Rattus norvegicus: one gene and its partners. The protein of the gene in region 1 purifies or fractionates together with the protein of each later gene. This does not show direct contact. Links are inferred from orthologs where the notes say so. Each region holds a gene or a part of one and is shown in the gene's direction. Other genes may lie near its edges. The genes, in order: Eif3b, Mtor, Eif4g3, Eif3d, Eif3i, Eif5 and Eif3g.

What was found.
Region 2: the proteins of Eif3b (region 1) and Mtor purify together in Homo sapiens (affinity purification with western blotting; 3 studies listed by BioGRID and IntAct, with this or other methods). This does not show direct contact. The link is inferred for Rattus norvegicus from reciprocal best matches to the Homo sapiens genes EIF3B and MTOR.
Region 3: the proteins of Eif3b (region 1) and Eif4g3 purify together in Homo sapiens (affinity purification with mass spectrometry; 3 studies listed by BioGRID and IntAct, with this or other methods). This does not show direct contact. The link is inferred for Rattus norvegicus from reciprocal best matches to the Homo sapiens genes EIF3B and EIF4G3.
Region 4: the proteins of Eif3b (region 1) and Eif3d purify together in Homo sapiens (affinity purification with mass spectrometry; 10 studies listed by BioGRID and IntAct, with this or other methods). This does not show direct contact. The link is inferred for Rattus norvegicus from reciprocal best matches to the Homo sapiens genes EIF3B and EIF3D.
Region 5: the proteins of Eif3b (region 1) and Eif3i purify together in Homo sapiens (affinity purification with mass spectrometry; 12 studies listed by BioGRID and IntAct, counting the BioPlex papers as one, with this or other methods). This does not show direct contact. The link is inferred for Rattus norvegicus from reciprocal best matches to the Homo sapiens genes EIF3B and EIF3I.
Region 6: the proteins of Eif3b (region 1) and Eif5 fractionate together in Homo sapiens (co-fractionation; 3 studies listed by BioGRID and IntAct, with this or other methods). This does not show direct contact. The link is inferred for Rattus norvegicus from reciprocal best matches to the Homo sapiens genes EIF3B and EIF5.
Region 7: the proteins of Eif3b (region 1) and Eif3g purify together in Homo sapiens (affinity purification with mass spectrometry; 12 studies listed by BioGRID and IntAct, counting the BioPlex papers as one, with this or other methods). This does not show direct contact. The link is inferred for Rattus norvegicus from reciprocal best matches to the Homo sapiens genes EIF3B and EIF3G.

The regions. Positions count from the first base shown.
Region 1 is NC_086030.1:19,328,269-19,331,768, reverse strand, and holds part of Eif3b (eukaryotic translation initiation factor 3 subunit B), read left to right. Parts: intron 1-3,084; coding exon 3,085-3,277; intron 3,278-3,500.
Region 2 is NC_086023.1:164,188,485-164,191,984, forward strand, and holds part of Mtor (serine/threonine-protein kinase mTOR), read left to right. Parts: intron 1-144; coding exon 145-237; intron 238-991; coding exon 992-1,126; intron 1,127-1,477; coding exon 1,478-1,607; intron 1,608-2,877; coding exon 2,878-3,128; intron 3,129-3,500. UniProt on the Homo sapiens protein: Serine/threonine protein kinase which is a central regulator of cellular metabolism, growth and survival in response to hormones, growth factors, nutrients, energy and stress signals.
Region 3 is NC_086023.1:155,669,878-155,673,377, forward strand, and holds part of Eif4g3 (eukaryotic translation initiation factor 4 gamma 3), read left to right. Parts: intron 1-125; coding exon 126-230; intron 231-2,006; coding exon 2,007-2,139; intron 2,140-3,500. UniProt on the Homo sapiens protein: Component of the protein complex eIF4F, which is involved in the recognition of the mRNA cap, ATP-dependent unwinding of 5'-terminal secondary structure and recruitment of mRNA to the ribosome. Functional homolog of EIF4G1.
Region 4 is NC_086025.1:111,422,741-111,426,240, reverse strand, and holds part of Eif3d (eukaryotic translation initiation factor 3 subunit D), read left to right. Parts: intron 1-548; coding exon 549-681; intron 682-1,388; coding exon 1,389-1,536; intron 1,537-2,118; coding exon 2,119-2,249; intron 2,250-2,736; coding exon 2,737-2,822; intron 2,823-2,942; coding exon 2,943-3,072; intron 3,073-3,500. UniProt on the Homo sapiens protein: mRNA cap-binding component of the eukaryotic translation initiation factor 3 (eIF-3) complex, a complex required for several steps in the initiation of protein synthesis of a specialized repertoire of mRNAs.
Region 5 is NC_086023.1:147,224,111-147,228,111, reverse strand, and holds the start of Eif3i (eukaryotic translation initiation factor 3 subunit I), read left to right. Parts: upstream 1-1,201; 5' UTR 1,202-1,239; coding exon 1,240-1,242; intron 1,243-1,334; coding exon 1,335-1,427; intron 1,428-2,560; coding exon 2,561-2,648; intron 2,649-3,869; coding exon 3,870-3,935; intron 3,936-4,001. Other genes in the region: Tmem234 (transmembrane protein 234), read right to left, coding at 694-845, 1,106-1,121. UniProt on the Homo sapiens protein: Component of the eukaryotic translation initiation factor 3 (eIF-3) complex, which is required for several steps in the initiation of protein synthesis.
Region 6 is NC_086024.1:136,413,333-136,416,329, forward strand, and holds part of Eif5 (eukaryotic translation initiation factor 5), read left to right. Parts: intron 1-674; coding exon 675-814; intron 815-1,084; coding exon 1,085-1,243; intron 1,244-1,695; coding exon 1,696-1,857; intron 1,858-2,104; coding exon 2,105-2,269; intron 2,270-2,528; coding exon 2,529-2,663; intron 2,664-2,997.
Region 7 is NC_086026.1:27,707,147-27,711,277, reverse strand, and holds the start of Eif3g (eukaryotic translation initiation factor 3 subunit G), read left to right. Parts: upstream 1-1,331; 5' UTR 1,332-1,341; coding exon 1,342-1,361; intron 1,362-1,480; coding exon 1,481-1,527; intron 1,528-1,720; coding exon 1,721-1,804; intron 1,805-1,913; coding exon 1,914-2,002; intron 2,003-2,143; coding exon 2,144-2,203; intron 2,204-3,616; coding exon 3,617-3,721; intron 3,722-3,813; coding exon 3,814-4,003; intron 4,004-4,131. UniProt on the Homo sapiens protein: RNA-binding component of the eukaryotic translation initiation factor 3 (eIF-3) complex, which is required for several steps in the initiation of protein synthesis.

The DNA.
Region 1 (3,500 bases):
GCCTGTCATTGATTTTGGCATCTTTGCAATGTGTCTTGCTTAATTAGGTTTCTTTTGCTGTGACAAAAGCAACTTATCCAAGGTCCATTATCCAAGGAAGTGAGGGCAGGAGCAGATGTAGAGGCAGGCCATGAGGACTGCTGCCGCTGCCCTGCTCCTTATGGCTCGCTCGGCCTGCTCTCTTAGACCATTCAGGGACAGCCTGGATGGCCCTGCCCACAGTGAGTTGTGTTCTCGAATACCAGTGTGCAGTCAAAAAACCAACCCACAAACTTGCCTGCAGGCGAGTCTGGTGGGGGCATTTTCTCAAGTGAGGTTTACTGCTCCCAGATAACTCTAGTTGTCAAGGTGACATAAAATTAGCCAGCACAGAATGCAGAGGACTGTCTGTCACATTGCTTTTCCCTGTGTAGCACCCAGGACCTGGTGCATGCTAAGCAAGTGTTCTACCAAGCCATACTCCCAGCCCTTCCACAGTGACCCTTAAAAAAAGTCATTTGGTGAGCTGGTGCTGGACATTCGTGTAGCAGTCAGGACAGTGTTGAGGAGTTGGTTTTCTCCTTCCACAATGGGTTCCAGGGATTGCACTCAGGTCATCAGCCTTGTGTGACTAGTGTGTGACACCCTGAGCCTTCCTGCAGGCCCAGAATTGCCTTTTATGTTTAAACATATTATTTATTTGTATCCTTTTTTTTACATTTTACTTCGTATGTATGTTTGCCTGCATTCATGTTTATGCACATGTGTGACTGGTATTTGTGGAGGCCAAAAGAGGGCATCAAATTCTTTGAAACCAGAGTTATTGCAAGTGGCTGTGAACCAACATGTGGGTGTTGGGAATTGAGCCTCAGTCCTCTGCAAGAGCCAAAAGTGCTCGAAAATGGCTGAGCCATCTCCAGCGGTTTTTTTTTTTCTTTTAATTTTTTATTTTATTATAAGTTTTGTATTTTATATGTTTATGGACGTTTTGCCTGCATGTATGTCTGTGTACCACAAGTATTCATTTGCCCTTGGAGGCCAGAAGAGGGCATTAGGTTCTCTGGAACTGGGGTTGTAGCTGGTTGTGACCCACCATGTGGGTGCTGGGAACTGAACTCTGGTCCTGCAAGAATAACAAGTGATCTCAACTGCCGAGCCGTCTCCCCACTCTCTCCCCGCTTCCATGTTTTCTATCTGAGACAAGGTCTTACTGTGACTCGGCCTCTGACTGTTCTGGAACTCACTAGGCTGGTCTTGAACTTATCTGCTGACTTATCTGCCTTCTGAGTTGGGATGAAGGGCATTAGCTGGGCCAGACTTGTGTATTTTAAACAGATCTTCTTGTGTAGATCTGGATCTGGGAGCATGGAAGCATCCTTCCGCTTAGCACGCCTTTCTCCTTGTGTACATGTACTGTATTTGTGAAGGTGACATCTGTAGGCCTAAGGATTGTGTCAGGAGTGTTCTTTTGATCTTCACTACTCTTTTTGGAATTGACTCTATAGAATTCTGTAGATCAGGCTGACCTCCAACTCAGAGATTAACCTGCCTCTCCCTCTAGTACAGGGATTAAAGGTGGGCACCATGACTTCCCAGCTCCCCCTTTAAAAAATGTTTTTAGTATCTGTATATATGTGTGAGGTTGTTAGATCCTGGAGTTACAGCCCCTGTGAGCTGCCATGTGGGTGCTGGAAATTGAACCCAGGTCCTCTAGAAGAGCAGTCATTGCCTTTAACCAGTGAGCCATCTCTCCAGCCCCTAAGATAGGGTTTCAAATTGAACCTGGAGCTCACCATTGCAGCTAGACTGGTTAGGCAGAAAGCCCCTGAGATCCTGCACACTCTGTCTTCATAACGCCGGGATTATAGATGTGGCTTTTTTTTGAGACAGAGTCTTAACTGTGTAGTTGTGGCTGTCCTAGAAATCACTTTGTAGACCAGGCTGCTCTTGAATTCACAGAGGTCTGCCTGCCCAAGTCCTGTGATTGGAGGTCACAATGCAAATAAATCAGCTTGTGGGCAGCAAGCACTTTCCCCTGACTTAGCCCCTCTGTCCAGCCCCACCTTTCACTTCTGAAATGCCCAAAGGATGTATGTTGACATTTAGGGGATTTAGCATGCTGAAGTTTCTTTTCTGTTTTTAAAGGGTGTGTGTGTGTGTGTGTGTGTGTGTGTGTGTGTGTGTGTGTGTGCGTGTGCACAGGTACCCTTGTAGGCCAGAGGTGTCCAGTCCCCTTGAACAGACTGTTGAGTGAACTGTCCAACATGGGTACTGGGAACAGAACTCAGGTACTCTGCAGGAGAGACAGTTGGTTTTTCCAGACATGGCTTCTCTGTGTAGACCAGACTATGGTCTCAAACTCATATCACCTGCTTCTACCTACCAGGTGCTGGGATTAAAGGCACCACCATCAACCGTGGTACCTGCTCTTAATGCTGAGCTGTCGCTTACTGTTCTTAGCTAAGATCTTGTGTAGGCCACTAGGAGGCTGTCCTTGCCTTGAGGATGACCTTGAGCTCTAGGTCCTCCTGCATTTTGCTGGGGTTGCGGGCGTGTGCAGCCACCCCTGCAAAGATTGAATAAAAAACAGTGATAGTGGCTAGAAATTCATGCAGTAGGCCATTTAAGTTTGTCTTTTGAGCAGTATTAGAGATTGAACCCAGGGCTACTTCTGTGTTAGGCTGGGGTGCTACTGTTGTTCTATCTGTGGCCCTTTGTAATTTGTAATTTTTACAGTTATTGTTTTCGTGTGGAGTATGAACATGGCTGTGGGGGTCAGAGGGTAACTTTGAGGAATGGGTTCTTCCCACCTGGTTAAGGCAGGGTCAAGCTGGCCTTGAGCTCCGATCCACAGGCATCGTCCACCTTCAAAGTGATGGGATTACATGCTTACACCCCCTGTAGCAGCAGTTTGATCCATTTAGAGAATATTCCCATCTAAAGGAGGGTGAGCATCCGCTTCCTTAGAAGCCAAGTCCTGGTGTCTTTGTTCACCGTGAAAGCACTTGGGATAGATGCCTCTTAGACATGAGTAGCCTGCTGGCTAATGAATGAGTGCTGCTCGGCTGAACTAGAAACCACTTGACATTTCCTTCACTCCTTCAGAACTACTTGGTGATGTACTCAAAGATCGGCCTCAGGAAGCGGATGGGATTGACTCGGTGATTGTTGTAGACAACGTTCCTCAGGTGGGACCCGACCGGCTTGAGAAGCTCAAAAATGTCATCCACAAGATCTTCTCCAAGTTTGGGAAAATCATAAATGACTATTACCCTGAAGAGGATGGAAAGACGAAAGGGTGAGTGTGATGGTTGCTGAAGCAGCAGTTGGGGGCTTGGGGGTTTGTGTGTTCAGGCCACCCCAGAGGGGAGTGCGCCAGTGAAGTTTTGGTTCCCAGGTCCCCAGCAGTGAGTGACTGTAGCCTGAGGGCCCACAGAAGAAGCAGGCTATCCAAGATAGGTCCTAGATAAAGATAGCACTTTAAGGGCCTGAAAGTGGACAAACCTGCCTGCGGGATTTCT
Region 2 (3,500 bases), on another chromosome or scaffold:
CTGCCTAGGCTGACCTCAAACTCCCAGAACTCCTGCCTCAGCTTCTAGAGTTTTGGATGTCTAAGTGTGAGCCACCACACCCCTCCTAAAACAATGTTTTCATCCCACAGTCTCAGCCCTCTGCCATTGTCTTCTCGTTTGCAGGTTAGCGGCCTGGAGATGAGGAAGTGGGTGGACGAGCTCTTTGTCATCATCATGGACATGCTGCAGGACTCCTCTCTTCTGGCCAAAAGACAGGTGAGGGCCACTGCCGCTGAGTGTGCTGGGCTCCCCGGGGACCGGGGACCAGTTTCTCTGTTCACCACAGTGTCACCAGTCAGTTCTTGCAGAGGTTGACAGACAGTAAGAGCTTGACATTTTCTTTGAGTGTGGAAAGAGGGCAGAATCTCAGAACAAGCTTTGGCTGTCCTCCTGACCAATCATCTGCAGTTCAATCTAGGCCAAGCATCGCCCCTTCCTCTGCACGGACGAAAATGCAGTCCGCTCGTCAGAGCCCTGACTGGTCAGAGCCCCGGCTCCCGAGTGAGGAAGCAGGCTCGGACACTGATTATGGAGGCAGACAGCTTCCCCTCACCCTCCCAGCCACTGGAGGTTATTAGGGAAATAGTCCAAAGTGAAGAACAGTATTGACTTCCTTCCGTAGCTCCTGTTAGTCATTCAGGATACGAAAGCACCACATTTCTTCTGAGAATATTCTGTATAGTTCTTTCTCTGATTCTTTTTGAGCCATCATCATCTCATTCTGTAGTCGACAAGTAAGTCCGGTTACTTACTGTGTAGTTTGAACTGGACTATCGGCAGCCCTCCAGCTTCAGCCTCCCCGGGTCAGGGAGTGACTGTGGGTTCCTGCTTGATCAGCTGTTTGCGTGTCCTGACTCTGGGACTCCTACTCATGGTCTGTGACTTAACAGTCTTCCGATTGGACAAAAAGAATGCCTGTGCTTTCTTTTCCTGTACTGGTTCAACAAACTGTGGCTGTTCGTCCACCCAGGTGGCTTTGTGGACCCTGGGACAGTTGGTGGCCAGTACTGGCTACGTGGTGGAGCCCTACAGGAAGTACCCCACTCTGCTTGAAGTGCTGCTGAATTTTCTGAAGACGGAGCAGAACCAGGGCACTCGGAGAGAGGTACACAGCAGACACCTGGCCTGCAGGGACTTGAGAGAGGAAGTCATGGCAGTAACCCACCCACACTGGGCGGGACTTCCTGTCTGTCTCTGCTCTGTTGTTGGAATGGTCGTTTATGTGGGAGGTGTGGGGTGTAGAACAGGAGAGTTGTACCTCAAGTCCTGTTTTTTGTTTTGTTTTTTTTTTGTTTTTTTTTTTTTTGGTTCTTTTTTTCGGAGTTGGGGACCGAACCCAGGGCCTTGCGCTTCCTAGGCAAGCGCTCTACCACTGAGCTAAATCCCCAACCCTTCAAGTCCTGTTTAATCAGATGTTGGGGTAAATGCTTAGCTGCTTCTTTCCTTCCCTGCCCAGGCCATCCGAGTGTTAGGGCTCCTCGGGGCTTTGGACCCCTACAAGCACAAAGTGAACATCGGCATGATTGACCAGTCCCGAGATGCTTCTGCTGTCAGCCTGTCAGAATCCAAGTCAAGTCAAGATTCCTGTAAGTTAGAACGAGAGTATTGTCAAGCTTGGACTCACATCCCTTCCTGACCATATTTAGAAAGAGTATTGGTCAGATGACTGAATCTCTTGGCAACTTGTGCATGAAGAGCCTGTAGTCCCTGCGTCTGCCTAGCAGGGATGTTGTACCTGATGTATCCAAGTCCTGTGTCTACCCACGGTCTTGTCAGGGTTAACAGGCTAACTTAAGTCTAGGTTACTTTTGACCGCAGGGAGAGATAGGAGTTACCCTGACACCACTGTCACCTGTCACTTTGTTAGTGCTTCTTTTTTATTTATTTCTTTTCTTTCATCCCTGGCCTCGTGGAGAGGAAGGATAACTCTTGTCTTCTCTGTTTTATTGAGGGAATTCAGGACATAGAAAGACCAGTAGCCCCCATAAACCCTGGGCCCTCTCTCTTTGCATCTCGTCTGACAATAGAGACCCCTTGCCTTTTGACGAGTGCACGAGCATGTGGGGAAGCGGATGGAATGTGAGCTCTAGGCCACCATCTACTGGGAAAAGCCTGTTTATGAGGTGAAGGTTCAGCAGTGGGTCTCCCCAGTGCTGTAGCAGAAGATGACTTAAGAAGATGAAACTGTTTGTTCACTACAATCTCTCTAGGTGTGAGTGTTCGGTTTTCTCCATCTGTTTCCTTCTCCCCTCTGGGTTAAGGAAGTGTAGCAAGCTTTTACCTTTGCACCTTGGCCATCAAGAGCAGAACCTAGGGTTCCTCAGCAGCGCCTGCCAACCAGCCCCTCTCCTGCCCCACATCTTACCTCCTCATTGCACGCCACCATTCCCAGGACAGAGTCCTTGCTGTTCAGGGTATGGCATATGCCTGCTAACTTGTCTGTATTCCCTGTGGGACTAGCCAGCTGTGGAACAGATGTTTGCCTAATTTAATTCCCTTTACTTTCATTTGGAGGAGTAATTATTTTATTGATGGTTTCAACTATGAAGTTGTGCACTGTAATGCTGAGAAGCTAGGTTAAACCTAGTAATTTAAAGAAAACCCATCATGTACTGTTTTAGGCTTTGGTGGTTTGGGTAATAGAAAAGCTAGAATGAGTTTTGCTCCTGACATGGAGAGCCTATTCATTGGTTCCTAATAGCCACTTGTCCCATACTCACAGCAGTGTCAGAATGTAGCAGAGAGAATGTATGCGTGCTAATGCCTCTGAGGGGCTTCGCTTGCTATTAGCCTGCTTAGCCTCTCATCAAAGTCCTGTCACCAGTACTTATGACTCTCTTTGTCACTTTGTCCTAGCTGACTACAGCACCAGTGAAATGCTGGTCAACATGGGAAACCTGCCACTGGACGAGTTCTACCCCGCCGTGTCCATGGTGGCCTTGATGCGGATCTTCCGAGACCAGTCCCTCTCTCACCACCACACCATGGTGGTTCAGGCCATCACCTTCATCTTCAAGTCCCTGGGGCTCAAGTGTGTGCAGTTCCTGCCCCAGGTCATGCCCACGTTCCTTAACGTCATCCGAGTCTGTGATGGGGCCATCCGGGAAGTAAGTACTTAAAAACCCTTCCCTGCTCACCTCTGCTGCACTGCACCATGCAGACTTATCTGTGCCTCGGCTTCCTGACGCCACGCCCAGCTTGCACTGACACTGCCTCTCCCAACATGGCACCTAAGTGTTTAGCTGGGTCTGTCCGGTTGTCTACTTCATCCCCACTGGATATAGAGAATGAATAGCCCCGTGGAAGGGACAGCATTGCTCTGTAGCTCAGCTGTGGAAGGAACTGCAGGCCAGATTTCTGCTTGTTCCTCATGGCTAGACTTAAATCAGGCTGGGGTGGTTGTTGTTGTGTTGTTGTTGTTGTTGTTGTTGTTGTTGTTGTTTGTTCTTAAGGTTTATTTTTATAAATTTTAATGTTGT
Region 3 (3,500 bases), on another chromosome or scaffold:
ACAAGTTTGAGGCAGCCTAGACTGTAGAGTGAGACTCTTTATAATAAAGACAAAAAATAAAACTACATGAAAAAAAGAAAATTTGATTTCTTAGCCAGAAATCATGGTGGTTTTATTACTTGCAGCCGCGCATGGACCAGTACTTTAACCAGATGGAGAAAATTGTCAAAGAAAGGAAAACTTCCTCCCGGATTCGGTTCATGCTTCAGGATGTAATTGACCTCAGGCTGGTAAGTTAGGTTTTATCAATAAATACCATGACCAAAACCATTTGGGAAGGGGAGGGTTTCTTTCAGTTTACAGTTTTACAACACAGAAGGCAGGGACTGAAAAGGCGGCCATGAAGGAGTGCTGCTTACCGGCTTACTCAGCCTTCTTTTTCACACAGCTCAGGACCACATCCATTAATCAAGGAAATGCCCTACAGACTGTCTAGTCAGTCTGGGTGGAGGCATATTCTCAATTGAGAGTCTTCTTCGGATAACTCCAGCTCATGTCAAGGTGACAAAAGGTGGTAGGGAAGGGAAATCAGATAGACTTGAGTGAAAAAGTCGGTGGTGTTTGTTGGGGTGGCAAGCTCTTTTGCTTCATGCCCAGCACTGAAGTGACGGGAAGAAGGTGCTGCCTGACTTGTCCTTTCCCAGTTACCTCACCACACTGCCGCTCTGACATTGCCCCTCTGAGTTCAGTACTGGTCAGTGAGACCCGGGCTTTCTAAACTGAACAGCGGAGTCTCGTCTCCACAGTGAACATGTTGAGCTCATAGCCATGTGATCTCTACAGTGCTATTGCCATCCTCTGCCCTTACATACTCGGTGACATAACTATGTACATTGACACTCGTGGATGTTGCTATTCCGCACTGTCTGCCTCAGCTGGAAGGTCATCCCTCACTGCCCTCAGTCCTCAGGGCACCTAGGAGGCTGCTTTGTCTTGTCAGACCCCAGGTGTGACCTTAATAGCAAAAGCTGTGACCTGTTGCTCAGAGCTCCCTCACAAGGCAAACTCAACCCAGTTTCCACCCACGTCTCCACCACGTTTGCTCATTTCAGCCATCAGAAGGGAGGCTGGGATGGAGTGAGGCAAGTTTTGTCTCCTGAGAAGAGAGAAGCAACCTTGCGTGGCATTCTAGGGAGGGTACCAGAGTCATATTAAAGGAATAAAAGTGGTTGTCACCTTTGATTTAGAGACCCTGTGAACTATGACATGAATTGAGTATTAACCCCTCATGTCACACAGTCCTGGAGAATCTTCCTTCTTCCCAACCCACCGCCTTTCCCTTCTGTGTCGGCAGTGTTGGCAGCTGCATTGCACACTTTTTTATTTATTATGTATACATCATACAGCTTTCTGCCTGCATGTATGCCTGCAGGCCAGAAGAGGGCACCAGACCTGATTATAGATGGTTGTGAGCCACCATGTGGTTGCTGGGAATTGAACTCAGGACCTCTGGAAGAGCAGTCAGTGCTCTTAACCTCTGAGCCATCTCTCTAGCCCCCTAGACACTCTTTCCTTCTGACTTTTACCCTCCACTTGTTGGAATGGGCACTGCACACCCCGCCGTAGTTGTTTCCTTAGCTTGAAACCATAAAGCACACCTGTCATCCTCAGCCAGCTGGGGTACTGGCATGCCTCTCCCTTTGGTAGGTATTTTATATGGTTGCCACACTGGAAAGTATATGTTTTGTCTTTTTGCCGGGACAGGGGCTATTAACAGGTTTCTCTGTATAGCCCTGGATATCCTGTAGACCAGACTGGCTTCAAATTCATAGAGGTCTGCCTTCCTCTGCCTCCTGAGTGCTAGGACTAAAGGTGTGTGCCACACTGCCCAGCAAATGTATAGGCTTTTAATTTATTTTTATTTGGAAAATTATATTGTTATTATGTATGTGGTGCTGAGGACCAAAGGCAGAACCTCGCACATGGTAGGCATTTACCAACCTAGATGCCCCACCCTTTCTGTAAAATTCTGTGACTTGACTCTCAATCTTATTCTGTTTTCATAGTGTAATTGGGTGTCCCGAAGAGCAGATCAGGGGCCAAAGACTATCGAGCAGATTCACAAAGAGGCCAAAATAGAAGAACAAGAGGAGCAAAGGAAAGTCCAGCAGCTGATGACCAAGGAGAAGAGAAGACCAGGTGAGGCAGCGGGGCTGGAGTTGGGTGCAGGGTGCGGGACTGTTAGGTCGGTGCTGCAGATGAGATTACCAAGACACCTGAGAATAACCGTGGAGTAAGAATGTACAATGGAGGGGTGTGTCGACTGTCTGAGCCAGTAAGAGAAGCGAGTGAAAGTAGCTCTTGAAACTGATGGCTGGACCCCTCCAGGACACATTGCCAGTAAATGCATGGGGTGTCCTCAGTTGAGATGTATTCTCCATTACGGTTGTAAAAATGTAGACTTAAGAATGGTGGCACAGGGGCTGGAGAGATGGCTTAGAGGCTAAGAGCACCAGTTACTCTTCCTGAGGACTCTGGTTCGATTCCCAACACCCTCCTGGCAGTTCACAACCATCTGTAAGATCAGTTCTGTGGGGATTGGGGATTTAGCTCAGTGGTAGAGCGCTTGCCTAGGAAGCGCAAGGCCCTGGGTTCGGTCCCCAGCTCCGAAAAAAAGAACCAAAAAAAAAAAAAAAAAAAAAAAAAGATCAGTTCTGTGGAATCTGACACCATCACACAGACACACGCACGTAAAACACCAATGCACATTTTTTTTAAAAAAACTAAAAAAGAAACAAATCATAAGAAAGGAAGGAAGAAAGCGGTGAAGTTTTAGAGGAGGAGAGAGATGAGAAGAGGAAGAAGCCTTTCTGTGAAGGAGGCCTGACCTGGCCGAGAGGCTGGTGTTTGAAAGGACTTCACCCGTGTAGTGGAGAATGACCAGCCCTAATTGGGGTGTGTGTCACCTCACAGTTTGGATGGACGATGCTGGAAGAACTGAGACCAAGTGCTTGGTTTTGGTTTCTGCCAGTCTCAAGTGTGACGTGTCGCACACTCAGGAGTGTCCATCACGTCACGGGTCGTGTGCTGGTAGCAGTAAACAAACCGAAGTACAGGGTAGCCTTTACCCAGCTGTCTTCAGGGAACACTTTAGAGGAAGAAATGTAGGGACTGCGGGCTTAGGAAAGAGAGGTTGCATTTTTTTAAGTTTTTTATTACATGGCATGCCATGGAGGTCAGAGATCAGTTTGAAGGAGCCTGTTTTCTCCTTATACCATGTTTGTCCCAGGATCGAACTCAGGTCACCAGGCCTGACAGCAACTGCTGCTGCCCGCTGAGCAATCTTAGCATCGCAGAGGTTTTTAAGCAGGAAGCTTGGAGAGCCTTTTCTTGTTGGTGCTGGTGAGCCAGCCTGAAGCAGGTGAGGGCGGGAAGCCCTGTGCACATCTTTGGAAGGAGGGGTTTGGAGCAAAGAGGATGCACAGAGGCCCTGCAGCAGTGCTGCGATCGGAAACAGGAGTCTGGTTAAAACTCTGCCTGTATGGAAAAGGAAGGGTTAC
Region 4 (3,500 bases), on another chromosome or scaffold:
ACCCAGAAGTCCACCCGTGTGCGTGCTTCCATAGTGGGCTCAGTTCCCCAGGGAAGGTTTACTGTGCTCTACAGAGGAACATGGGAGCTAAGAAAGCAGGAAGCTAAACTAGCATTAGAGTTTGTCTCTCTTTTTTTTTTAATACTTTTTTATTAATTTTATATGAATATACTGTAGCTGTCTTCAGACACAGTAGAAGAAGGCACCAGATCTCATTACAGATGGTTGTGAGCCACCATGTGGTTGCTGGGAATTGAACTCAGGACCTCTGGAAGAGCAGCCAGTGCTCTTAACCCCTGAGCCATCTCTCCAGCCCTCTCGTCTCTTTTTCAGAGAGATTAGTTCCATCTCTTTCCTATGTACTGGACTTCTGAGATGGGCCTCCCTTTGTAGCTGAGATTTAAACTTGGCATCCTCCTGCATCTGCCTCCCTAATCCTGGGATTATAGACATGCACCACTGCAATGCCTGGCGTGCACAGTAGATGTGCCTTCTGACTCCATGGCGTAAGAGGTGGGCGGACCTCTGATTTTTCTCTCTCCCCTCAGCGAGTGCTGTGGAGCACTGGAGTACTATGACAAAGCCTTCGACCGCATCACCACGAGGAGTGAGAAGCCTCTGCGGAGCATCAAGCGCATCTTCCACACTGTCACCACCACAGACGACCCTGTCATCCGGAAGGTGTGCACCCTTTGCCCACTTTTGGGAATGTTGCTGAGGCTTGAGAAAGAACAGGGCATGAGGTGTGCAGGTGTCCTTCAGTATTCACAGGGTTTGAATCAGGACCATCCCATAGGTACCAAAAGCCATGGCTGCTCCAGTCCCGGTGATGTGACTTACCTGTCAGCCCTAGCAATCTTCCTTCCGTGTTTCAGTTCCTTCTGGGTTGCTCACAACACCTAGACATTGGCTACTACTACGTAAGCAGTTGTTACACTGTTATTTGAGGAACCTGACGGATAGAAGGTGAACGTGTTTATCAGGCAAACTTTCTCCCCCTGAACATGTGGTAGACATGTTGGACTGGTGGATCCCACAGAAACAGCTGACTATGTGCATAGCCAAGCCTTAGATGAGGTTCTGAATCATACAGATGAGACTTGTTGCTAGGTGCACTTAAATATGTTAAGAGACATGCTCAAATTCCAGCTCTGCCAGGCTGACTTTGCTGCCCTGGTGCCTTAGCTTTCTTACATACAAAGGTAGAAGGATAGCTAGGCTGGCACCTACTGAGTGGAGCGTGTCCCGTGCATCCACCACAGCCTGCTGCAGTGACTGAGAGCCTCACCCAGCCTATTTGCTGCAGCCTCCTCAGGTGACTGGGGTATCTTCCTTCCCAAGTGACCTCAGAGTCCTCAGTTCACTCTAGTCTCTCTCCTTCCTTTCAGCTGGCAAAAACGCAGGGCAATGTGTTTGCCACAGATGCCATCCTGGCCACACTGATGAGCTGCACCCGCTCCGTGTACTCCTGGGACATTGTTGTCCAGAGGGTCGGATCTAAACTCTTCTTTGACAAGAGGGACAATTCTGACTTTGGTAGGCATGGGTGTTTTCAGTTCAGAATAATTACTTAAGAATGAGTAGTGTTTTGATCTCTCCCGTCCACTCAAAGAGACCACTTCGGTGCTTCTGTGGGCTTCAGCTCTGAGTCCTCACACCACTGTGGCCGTGAGTTACTATATGCATAGAAGTGTCCTCCGTTTCCTCTTCCTCTCTGTACTATAAAGAAGAATGCATATGCGTGTATTTTATGACACATGTGTATATACACACTGTCAATGAATCACTCACAGAATTATAGCCGTCTGATTCTGTTTGAGTCTCAAGCCTCATTTGTTAAAATGCCAAGAGAGACACATTCTCTTGAGGAATCCAGAAAGAATGAGAAGGAACAACTGAACTATGTGACCAGTGTTGTTGGGTCGCACCTAACGTTTTCAGTGAGCCTCCACTTCCCTGTGCATGCCACATTCTGGGGGAATCCTCTGTGAGCAGATGGCAGTTCTTTGGAGATGGGCCCCTATGATCTAGGTCCGTACCTCTACCCATACTGCTGTGCACACTGCCAGTGACTCTTGGCTACCTGAGTGGGTGACATCCATGCTTGGGCTTTTCCAGACCTCCTGACTGTGAGTGAGACGGCTAACGAGCCCCCTCAAGATGAAGGCAATTCCTTCAACTCACCCCGGAACCTGGCCATGGAGGCCACCTACATCAACCACAACTTCTCCCAGCAGTGCCTGAGAATGGTGAGTACACAGGAGCAGATGCACTGGCTTCTGGGTTAGGTCCTGCTGCTGAGCCTCTGCTCTGTGCTAGACAGTGGTGTGAGGTTGGCCAGGCACAACTCCTCCTGGTAGCAGGGATTGGAGCCACAAAAAGGTCTGTGTGCTCAGGCATATTTCCTCTCTATGGAGTAACTAATAATGCCTGTGTCACATAGACAGGCTGTGGAATGCCTTTGGATAAAAGGCCTTTCCATGCCTTGAGGATATGACATTGAATGAAGAGCATTGCTTGCTTTCCTGTTAGCTCAGCAGTCTGCTTGTGGTGGAGAGGGAAGCAGGAAGGAACATGATGGCTCTTACTCTGTGGAGTGTGTTAGGCTTGGTCCTTGATACATAGTGAGCCTACACCCTCAAGGACAGAAGCACCTAGCCAGGGCTGTCAAGAGCAATGCTGGGTCTGCCCACTTGTTATCAACCCCAGCTCCTGAAAGCTTTGTCACTTCTGCAGGGGAGAGAGAGATACAATTTCCCCAACCCAAACCCATTTGTGGAGGATGACATGGATAAGAATGAGATCGCCTCCGTGGCTTACCGGTATGTCGGCTCTGGGGGGGGTCTGACCAAGATTAGAGCACAGAACCTGTCCTGTGCTGTCCAGGATGGTCCGTCCACGGCAGTGGATCTTGTAGTGAATGAGTCTTGCTGTCTTCTTAGTTACCGGAGGTGGAAGCTTGGAGATGACATTGACCTTATTGTTCGCTGTGAACATGATGGCGTCATGACTGGGGCCAACGGGGAAGTGTCCTTCATCAACATCAAGACACTCAATGAATGGGACTCCAGGGTGAGGCACCATCACAGTTGTGTTCCGGCAGTGTGTAGTGGGGTTGGCTCTTGGGTACTCACACAACCATTGTGGGTGCAGGGATATCTCAAGTTTCCGTCACTGCCAACAGAGTAGAACAGTCTAAGTTAAGGTTTCTACCTTTATCTTCAAGCACTTTAGTCTGTTCATTCTGGCTATTGGCTCCTGTGGTCTGTGCATCTGATCTTGACCTCACCTTATCTTTGGAAGCTCTGGCCTCTTTCTTTACTCAGCCTCATTGCCACCTCATGATCTCTTTATCCAGTTCTGTCACTGCTGACCTCCAAAGACTAAGATCTGGACAGACACGCACACACAGTCCTCTTTGCGTTATCCATTTCCAGTGCTGCAGGACCTTAAGGTCAGGCGACGTCCTTTCTCCCTGGCTCTGTGTGTGGTGCCCTGAA
Region 5 (4,001 bases), on another chromosome or scaffold:
AGAGAAACACAGTCAATGTACTCTATTGCCTTAAATATCCTCTCCCTCGTCCTGGCCAGTTCCCATCTTTCCTTGAGTGACAGTGTCACCCCTTCCAGGAAGCCCACTCCCTGTCCTCCAACTCCCATCTCTCTCAGAGTTCACACAGTACTTTATCTGTACCCCTCAGAGTGCTGCATATCTAGCTAGCTTACATCGGCAGCTATGGCTTGTAGGCAGTTCATTATAGCCTTCCTTAGGTACAACTCCAGGGCAAAGAAAGCTTCTGGAAATGCTCCAAATCGTTATATAATTGATAGGGTGACAATGACATTAAGAGCCTGGCCGTGGCAGCGCCTTTAATCCCAGCACTCGGGAGTCAGAGACAGGCTGATCCCTGAGTTCGAGGCTAGACTGTTCAGGATAGTCAGGGCTACACTGAGAAACACAGTCTCAAAAAAAAAAAAAAAAAAAAAGTCATAGATTGAACATGTACGCTGTACTAGGCCCAATGCTAAGTGTTTTGCGTCTTACCTCAATTCTTCTATCTGCCCTATACATGGGTTATCATTAAAATTTCCATTTTACGGATGATGAAACTGAGACTCACAGGGGATAAATGAGCTTCCAGGAGCTTCTAGTGAGTAGGAGGTGGGCTGAGAATCTGGCCGACCAGCGACCAAACACTCAGCGGCTCCTCCCGAGCGTACGCACCTCAGTATTCAAGAAGAGAGCCTTCATCTCCCCCACCAGCTGCCGGGCCCATGTCCGCTCATGCACCTGCTGCAAGCCGGAGGAGGCCCGCTTCAGCAGTGGCTGCGTGCCACCCCATAGTGCAGCCACCAGCACCAGAGCAAGCACCTGCCCTGAAAGCAAAGGGTCAGAAAGTCACCCCGGCCCTCTCCTGCTTCCTCCAGCCCGGCTGACCGGCTCCATCTCCCTCCCGCGCTCTCCGCGCCGGGCAGCGATAGGTCGGGAGGACCGGCCGGCAAAACGGCGGAAGTGAGACCGGGAGACCAGGGTGCGTGGTTTAGCATTCCTGCGATTCAGGGATGCCAGGGGAGTGAGAAGAGATTCTCCGAGTTGGAGAGTCGGAGCCCGCAGAGGGGCGGGGCCAGCTACCCACCCAAGGATGCCGCCATGGAAACGCCGGGCCCTTCTACTTCCGGGAGCGAGAGGGCGGAGTCCTCACATCCGGAAGTCGCCCCAGTCTTCTTCCGGTCCTACTCACATTGCCTCTCTCCTCGCGTCACCGCCAGGATGGTGAGTTCCAGGCACGCTGTGCTGCTGTCGGGGGTCCTCAGTAGACTTGGGACAGGGTTTCAGGCACTGACACTCCGGTTCTGTCCTCACAGAAGCCCATCCTGCTTCAGGGCCATGAGCGGTCCATCACGCAAATCAAGTACAACCGCGAAGGAGACCTCCTTTTCACTGTGGCCAAAGACCCCGTGAGCGACTGCGCGAGGGCGGGAGGGCCGGGCGGGGCACCGGGGGGAGCGAGTTCGCGCCGCCGGGACAGAGGGTGAGGTGAACAAGGTTTGCTGCCGGAGGGATATTTCTCTGAAAAGCAGGGAAAACCACCCATAACCGGAGTAGGGTAGCGACAGCATTCTGCCAGGAAAATCTGGAAGATGTTGGTGGATGAAAGGAAAGAGTACCCAGGGAGAAGAAAATTAAGAGATTGAAATTTAACCCTTCTAAACTACAGTTTTCCCTTTTAGTAAAACATGGAAGCTTTTAGTAGCTCCCCCAGCAAGTGAGGTCATTCTTCTAAATAGTTTTGCACCGCACCTCATGTATGTTAGTCGCTTATATTTTAAGGTTCATAGACATGGTTTTATTGGAGCGTCACAGCTGCCCTTTGAAGAAAGCTGTTAACAGGGGTGGGGTATCTATCCAAGCTGGCCTGAACCTCTCCATCTTCCTGCCTCAGCCTCCTGGTCTTAGGAATACAAATGTGTGCTACCACGTACAGCTCCTCCCAGTGCTTTAAAAAAAAAATTATATATATTTTGTGTGTGTGTAATCATTTTATTTTATGTGTATGGGTGCTTTCCTGCATGTGTGCGTCTGGTACCTGAGAAGGCCAGAAGATCCCCTGAAACTGCAGCTACAGATTGTTGGTATCGTGTGGGTGTTGGGAATCGAACCCATGTCGTCTGGAAGAGCAGCCAGTATTCTTTAAGCTCTGAGCCATCTCTTCAGCTCTCATAGCCATTTAAAGGAAAGAAGCCCTGTATTTAAGATGACAGGGTGAGCTAGTGACAAAGCACCAGAGCCCATGCGTCCTTACTGTCATCTGTAGTCAGCTGAACAGGACCTGAAAGATTTTTTTAGGCTGGAACTCAATCTTGTCTTGGACTCCTGAATCCAGACAAAAGCGTATGAGGGTGCTGTGGCAGGCCTGGCTCTTCTGCCGCTTATGTTAGGAACGGAGGAGAACCCAGGAGCTGGTCTTTTATCAGCTCTCTAATAAATGAGCAGAAGGCTGGCTTGGCTCGAGCCTACCGAGGGTTTGAGTGCAAGCTAAGCTATTGATCTTTCCGGGATGTGACCCGTCCTGTCATTTTACTCTTTCCAGATCGTCAATGTGTGGTATTCTGTCAATGGCGAGAGGCTAGGCACCTACATGGGCCACACTGGAGCTGTGTGGTGTGTGGATGCTGACTGTATCCTTTTTGCCTGCCGTGGGTCAGCCAGCCTTGGAGATGCTGGCTTTGAGGTTGTGGCTTTGGCATGCTATGGTGGTCTAGAGAATAACACTCTCTACTCCGGGGTGCTTCATCCTGTGGGAAACTAGGACACGTTCAGGTTCTGGAATTCAAAGGTCAGGTCGCTCTGAGGTAAAAGTGAGAAAGGCTCTTTGGGACGGAACTGGGAGATGGGGGCTAGGTGAACTGTTGTCATTTTCTTTTGTATGTATGTATATGTGTATGTGTGGTGAATCTGTGTGAACAAGTGCAGGGACGAATGGAGGCCAGAAGTCAGCATCTGGTCTTGTCTTAAGTTATTTGCAACCTTTTTTTTAACATTTTTTCTTTTCCCTAAAGATTAGTTCTATCTGTACGGGAGTTTTGCCTGCATATGTGTCTGTGCACCATGTGTGTGCAGTGCCAGCCATTTTCTTTAAAATGACAGAGGGCATCAGATCCCTTAGAACAGGAGTTACAGATGGTTGGGAGCCACCGTGTGGGTGATGGGAACCTAACCTGGGTCTTCCGGAAGAGCAGCCAATGCTCTAATCAATGAGCCACCTATCCCAGCTTTGTTTGTTGGGTTGGTTTTTGGTTTTTTGTTTGTTTTTGTTTTGGTTGGTCTGTTTTCAAGACAGGGTCTCACTATGATAGTGTTGACTCTCCTAGAAATCCCTGTAGACCAGGCTGGCCTCAGAGATCCACCTGTACCTGCTTCTCAAGGAAGGATTAAAGACATGTGCCACCACTGTCTGGCTCCAACTTGTGTTTTGAGACAAAAACAACTTTTCATTGAGTCTATAGCTCCCTGATTAGCTAGAATTGGCCAGCCAGTCACTGAACTTCCTGTCTTCATCTCTCAGCACGGGAATTGCAGCCACACTAAAGTCTCTCTGTGGGTGCTGGGGATCTGAACTGAGGTTCTCAGGTTTGCACAGAGCATTTTACCTGTTAAACGTCTCCCAGCCCTAGTCATTCTTTTTTTCTGTGTCTAGAAGTGATTTGCCTGGTGTTTGTATGTATGTGTGCTTGGTGCCCTTGAAAACCACACTTGGGCATTAGATCCCCCTGGAACTGGAGTTGGGAGCCACCATGTAGCTTCTGGGATTCTAACCTGGACCCTCTGGAAGAGCAGCCAGTGCTCTAACCACTCAGCATCTCTCCAGCCCAAGTCATGTTTCTTAACATCTTTCTCAGGGGACACCAAGCATGTCCTTACTGGCTCAGCTGACAACAGCTGTCGTCTCTGGGACTGTGAAACAGGTAAACCTGGGTTATTCACTTTTTAGCAAAAGTGGCCAACGACAGTTTACCTGTCTAAGCAAAGAC
Region 6 (2,997 bases), on another chromosome or scaffold:
TCCTAATCTTTAATAGCTCCAATACTGTATCAGTACTGCTTCACCTTATTTTATAGCCTGCACAATGTAGTTAGTGAATTTATTTGATGTCTGAATACCTTCAGAATTCTTTTTTGTTTTTTTCAAGCAAGACAGGGTTTTTCTGTAATATCTCTGGGTGTCCTGAACCTTACTCTGTAGACCAGGTTGGCCTCTAACTCAGAGATAACCTGCTTGCTGCCGCCTCCCAAGTGCTGGGATGAAAGGCATGCAGGGTTGTTTTATTGAAGTGTATTTTTTTGTGTGGGTGTTCTGTGTGTGGGTATGTCTGTACCACATGCATGAATCCCCTGGAACTGACTGGAGTTATGGATGGTTGTGAGCTACCATATGAGTGCTGAGAATCTGAACTTCCTTTTTTTTTTTTTTTTTGGAACTGGGGACCGAACCCAGGGCCTTGTGCTTCCTAGGCAAGCGCTCTACCACTGAGCGAAATCCCCAACCCCTGAACTTCCTTCTTATGCAGGAACAAGTCCTCTTTATTGTTTACCAGCCACTCCCTCCAGAATTCGAAGTTGTGTTTTATCATGTTGGCTTTTTCTGCAGAGAACTACGATGGTGAGAGGGTGGAATTTAAGTCTGATAGTAATACATAAACCATGAGACTAAGTAAGCTAACTCTTACTTCCTTGTAGAGAATAGTGACATTGGTACAGGAAAGAAAGAGAAAGAAAAGAAAAATAGAAAGGGCAAGGACAAGGAAAATGGCTCTGTATCCACCAGTGAGACACCACCACCTCCACCACCAAATGAAATTAGTCCTCCACATGCTGTGGTGAGTTTAGTGTTCTTCAAATAGTGTTGAAAACCCTGATATTTGGTTAAATTTTTAAATGTATTAATATAGTTGTAGCATTGTGCTATTGGCTGGTGGATAAACTGAATTAAACTAAACTATTTTTAGGATCCTTTTTCCCTGTTTGCCATTTTGTTTTGTTTTTGTTTGCTCTGATGTGAAAGATAAATATTTTCTGGTTTGTGGGCAAAGGTGCTTGCTTGATCTTGTCAAGATGACTAATTCCTTTGTGATCTTTTGTGTGAATAGGAAGAAGAGGAAGATGATGATTGGGGGGAGGATACAACTGAGGAAGCTCAAAGGCGCAGAATGGATGAAATCAGTGACCATGCAAAAGGTCTGACACTTAGCGATGATTTGGAAAGAACTGTAGAAGAGCGTGTTAACATCCTGTTTGATTTTGTTAAGGTAACTTTTTTTTTTTTTTTTTTTTTTTTTGTTCTTTTTTTCGGAGCTGGGGACCGAACCCAGGGCCTTGCGCTTCCTAGGCAAGCGCTCTACCACTATGCTAAATCCCCAACCCCCCAAGGTAACTTTTTATAGTTAACATTTTCTCTGGTATCTTTGAATTCATTTTTTCAGGGTCTCTAGCCCTGACTTTCATGGACTTGATAGACCAGGCTAGCCTCAAGCTCTCAGAGACCTGAGCCTGCTGAGATTAAAGGCATGTCCCACCACACCATTCTTTGAATATTAATGGAATGCTTGTATTTACTTCCTTGATTATGCAAGAAATGTACTAGAAGTAGTACAATGGGTGTTGAACTGTGATAAATTGGGTATAAATTCTGGAGAAGGACTGTTCTCACACATAGCAAAATATGCCTGTATTTTATATTGAAATAATCCTTTATTTCCAGAAAAAGAAAGAAGAGGGCATTATTGATTCATCTGATAAAGACATTGTGGCTGAGGCAGAAAGACTGGATGTAAAAGCCATGGGCCCTCTCGTTTTGACAGAAGTTCTCTTTGATGAGAAGATAAGAGAGCAAATCAAGAAATACAGGCGCCATTTTTTAAGAGTAAGAGATTTTGGTTTATTATTCTTGATTGTCACCTTAGGACTGTGGCTTTAAATTGCTTCAGACAACTATTGTTATCCTGAAAATAGATAATCCCCACTTTACCAAGTCTGGGAGCACCTGCAAAGGGTAAGGGTACATTGACTTTTTTGGGCTACTCTTTCATACTCTATGCTTTAAGAAAATGAATGTACATAGGTAAGAATTATAGAACAGGCAGATAATTGCTGATGTTGTCTACCTGCAGTTTTGTCATAACAACAAAAAGGCCCAGCGGTACCTTCTTCATGGTTTGGAATGTGTGGTAGCAATGCATCAAGCTCAGTTGATCTCCAAGATTCCACATATCTTGAAGGAGATGTATGATGCAGACCTTTTAGAGGAAGAGGTCATTATCAGCTGGTCAGAAAAGGTAAGGAACCACATAAGTTATGTTAAAATGCTTCAGAAGCATCAGAATGGCTATTGGGGCATATGTTATGAGGAAGTTGTGTCTAATAGACGCAGTTTTCTCTATGATGTTGAATTCTATACTTGGGTAATGTGTATGTGTGTTCTGTCTACTGAAGGTTAGGGTGTGAACCAAGCCCTTTAAATAGCTAATTCATTGTACATGTGACTTAAATTACATTTTTCAAATCTTCACCAAGAAAATTCTGGGCTTTTTTTAGGCCTCTAAGAAATATGTCTCAAAAGAACTTGCCAAAGAGATTCGTGTCAAAGCAGAGCCATTTATTAAATGGTTGAAGGAAGCGGAGGAGGAATCTTCTGGTGGTGAGGAAGAAGACGAAGATGAAAATATTGAGGTAAATGCTAAAAAATGTTATTGAGTACTTGGTTGTCAATGGGTATTGCAGGTCTGCCACACATGAATAGGGTTTTGTGTGTGTGTCCCTGGCTGGTCTGGAACTCAGCTGCCTGCTGCTCTTAGTGCTAGCTAAAGGTGTGCGCTGCTCTGGGGAGAGGGAGTAGAGATTGAAGGGTAGTTATGACTAGACAATTGGGATGGTTCCAAATTTCAGTTTAAGGATACAACAAAATGCAATCTTTCTGTGAGTGGGGGAGACAGTTTTTGCATGTAGTTCTGGAAAGTGAGCATACTAGGTAAACAAGCATTATCTGACCTTGAGCCCTTTTGAG
Region 7 (4,131 bases), on another chromosome or scaffold:
AGTTGAATACCCCAACCATTGGGAGCAGGGTAAGTGTACAACAAAGACATGATCCCAAGGAAATCTGCCTATCCCTAAATCCTGATTGGTGAAATAACTTGGCACAGATGTTTGTGGATTTGGGGCTTAACAACCCTGCAGGATCTTAGCTTGGGGTTCAGTCCCTGAATCTGGAGTGTGACCTTGGTCAACCAGTCCTGGGATGTACGCTAAATAAACTGTCCGTGTCTGTCAGAGATTGGTGTTCATGTGGTTTGTGAAGCGATTCATTGACCCCAACAGGAGGCCAAGACTGCGGGCCTGAGCTGCAGGACCCACATAGTGGAAGGAGAGGCCTCCTGCAAAGTGTCCCCTGACCTCCACACGTGTACTGTGCATAAGGGTTTGTGAGTGCACAAGCACGGTGTCTTCAAACACAGTACAAACACACACGCAAGTTTGCATGATAAAACCTAGCATGCGTCACAGAAAAGGAAGCACAGGAGACCAGGTGGTCTGAGTCTATATCTTCTTCAACAAACCAGAGTCCTGGTATCATCCAAACAACACAAATCAAGGGCATTCTTTTTTTTTTTTTTTTTTTTGGTTCTTTTTTTTTTTTTTTAAGGGCATTCTTGATACATGTGCTTTTCCCCCAGGCTTGTTGGTATAATGCCAGTTATTTGTCAATTGCTTGCATTCGGGAGTTCAGGGGCAAGCCTGGGGAACAAAGTAAGGGTTTTAGTTTTGGATACAGAGTCTCATGTAGCACAGGCTAGCCTGGAATCCAAAAAGTAGCTGAAATGGCCTTCAACTCATGATTTTCCAGCTTCCACCTCTAACACTGGGTGATAATTAAAACTAATTCTCCAAGAGGAGGGAGAGAACGAATCAGTTTCCAGTGTGGTGGTTTCATGTTCGTATTCCCGGCACTTGCTAGAATGAGGTGGAAAGATTCAAGGCTAGCTGGGGTACATACACCACAAGGTTCAGGACAGCCTCGTATTCAAGGCCACCCTGGGAATGATGTTCATGAGCGTTTTGGAGTTGAGACAGAAGGATTGTGGGGAGTTACTGATTATCCTAGCTATAGAGTGAGACACTGACATCTAGTTCCATCAGCCTAAAGAGGGAGTAAAAAGTTTAAAACGCTCTTAGAAGCTCTTTTCTAGACCCCCTTTCCAGGTTGGATGCCAGCGCTTTGCGGCACGCAAAACATGCATGTCCACATTTGTCCACAGGGAGGCGCTGTGGTCACCGCGGTCTGGCCGCTCTAGGCAGCGGCCACAGCACCGGAAGCCTCTTCTACACGGGCTTCCGGTCTTTACCCGGGCTGAGAGCTGCGTGGAGTAGGACTTCGAGATGCCGACTGGCGACTTTGAGTAAGTGTTCGGTGGCGGTGGGGGTCGCCAGAGAGGCCGAGTGGGGGCAGCTCTGGGGTGTATGGTGGTCCAGGTAGCGCGGGGCCCGGGACCCGCTCACCGATCTCCTGTCCCCGCAGCTCGAAGCCCAGCTGGGCCGACCAGGTGGAAGAGGAGGGAGAGGACGGTGAGTGCTTGTGCGCGGCCCCGCCCGCTGCGAGACCCGGATGCCCACGCACAGGCTAGGGCCGCTTGTGGCCAGTCCCACCCTCGCTTTGCGCTCTGCCCCTGGAGCGGTCCCCCACCCCAACCCCCGCCATTGGCTTGAAAGTTCCAGCGCTGTGGCTCACTTACCTTCCTCCCCGAATTCCCTCCGGCAGACAAGTGTGTCACCAGCGAGCTCCTGAAAGGAATCCCTCTGCCCACCGGTGACACCAGTCCAGAGCCGGAGTTACTTCCTGGAGGTGAGCACCGTCCATCCCTGCCTTCTTCTCCCTTCTCCCTTCCGATTCTCAAGCCTACTTTCCAGCCAGTCCCATTACCCAGGAGTTAGTTTCTGTGATCTTCCTCCAGACCCACTGCCACCTCCCAAGGAAGTCATCAATGGGAACATAAAGACGGTGACTGAGTACAAGGTAGAGGAAGATGGGAAGAAGTTCAAGGTAAGGGTGAGGTGGGCATATGTGGTCAGCGTGACTTGTTCAGGGGCTCTTAGATCGGTGGTGAAGAGTGTCAGTGTTGCTTTGGATGGCTGAGGCAGGCCTGAGACTCGGGAAGCACTCCTAACTCTTTCCCACCTTCAGATTGTCAGAACCTTCAGAATTGAGACCCGGAAGGCATCAAAGGCTGTGGCCAGGAGGAAGGTGAGAGTGTACTTATTTGGGGGATGGGGGTGTTCCCCAGGACTGACCAGAGGACTTAGGAAGCCCCTTTTTGTTGATGTAGAATAAAAGTTTAGTGTTAGGCCTTGAAAGTTTAGGACCCAGGAGTAGATGAAGTTAAGATTTTTTTTTCTTCTCCTTTTGTGCGCAGGTGTGCGCACTTTTGGTTTGAGATGGTCTCTTTATATTAGAAACTAGACTGGGCTTGCTGTTCCCACATAAGTACATGCCTCTGATCTCAGATCTTCATTGGGATCAACTCTGATGGGCACTTCTGTGACAAATACTGTACTGAGACATATCCAGCCCTCTTGGTTTTTCTGTTTGTAGTTTGTCTGTTTTTTCCAGACAGGGTTTCTCTGTAGCTCTAGCTGTTCTGAACTCTCTGTAGACCAGGCTGACCATGAACTCAGAGGTCCACCTGCCTTTACCCCAGACTTAGGATTTAAGGCACTGCCACCACTTCCTGGCTTGTTATTTTTGAGAGACTTTAGCTCTACAGTCTTCATTCAGAATGCTTCTGCCTCCCGAGTCCCCACTTAGATTCTTCCTCCTTTGTCTACATGAAGAAGCGAGCAGCCTCTACTTACCAAGGGGGCAAGGGCGTCTAGCCGGGGCAGCACTGCCTGAGAGCAAGCACCCCTCCCCCCCAAGTCATCTAGCTCGACATGGCTTCTCAATCCCCACGCCAGTTTAGGGAGGCAGGGGGCTTTGTGGCCCCCATGTTACAGGAAGGAAATGAACCTCAGGTCTAACTAGCTCAAGGTTCCTAAGATCTGGGGATTCCTCCTTCATTCCTGATGGGAGCTGGGCTACTGACCTGCCCAGAAACTGCAGTGGCACAGTTGAGCCCCATGCTCAACTTTTTGTGTGACTTTGGGATCAAGCTCAGGTTGTTACAAGTACAACAAGTAAACTGCACCTTTTCACACTGAGCTACGGCACCAGCACCTTTTCCTTTTCTTTTTTTTTTTTTTTTTTTTTTTTTTTTTTGGTTCTTTTTTTCGGAGCTGGGGACCGAACCCAGGGCCTTGCGCTTCCTAGGTAAGCGCTCTACCACTGAGCTAAGTCCCCAGCCCCCTTTTCCTTTTCTTATGTATTTATTCATTCATTTAGATGGGGCCTCATACAGCTCAAGCTGGTTTAGAGCTTGTGTCTCAGGATGGCCTGCAGCTCAGGATCCTCCTGTTTGCACCTGGCAGATGTTGGAGTGATGTCATGTGCCGCCATGTCTATCTTAGGAAGTGGGTATTGTCACTGTTACCACACGGAAGGCCTCTAGGGAAACTAGAACATAGGAGTCAAAGCCCCGGAATGGTTGTCTGTCTGGGGTGCTGCACTGTGGGATCCTTCCTGCCTTCATCCTCACCTCCCCATCTTTTCCTGGGAGCCCAGAATTGGAAGAAGTTTGGCAACTCAGAGTTTGACCCGCCAGGGCCCAATGTAGCCACTACCACAGTCAGTGATGACGTCTCCATGACATTCATCACTAGCAAAGAGGTGAGCAGGGTGAAACTGGAACCTGAGAAACGCAGAGGGAGTGGGGTGGGTAGGACATAGCAGCCCCTTCTGAGCCATCCCTTCCCCACCAGGACCTGAACTGCCAGGAGGAGGAGGACCCAATGAACAAGCTCAAGGGCCAGAAGATCGTGTCCTGCCGCATTTGCAAGGGCGACCATTGGACCACCCGCTGCCCCTACAAGGACACACTAGGACCCATGCAGAAGGAGCTGGCTGAGCAGCTGGGCCTGTCTACCGGGGAGAAGGAGAAATTGCCAGGAGGTGTGGGCATGGGGCGCCTGGGAGGGGCCTCAGCTGTTCCTTTTGTAGTGTACTGTTTTCTTTCCCTATATCACCTAGGGACAACTTTGGGCATGGTGGTCATTCTGATGCAAGTGTGACTGATGACT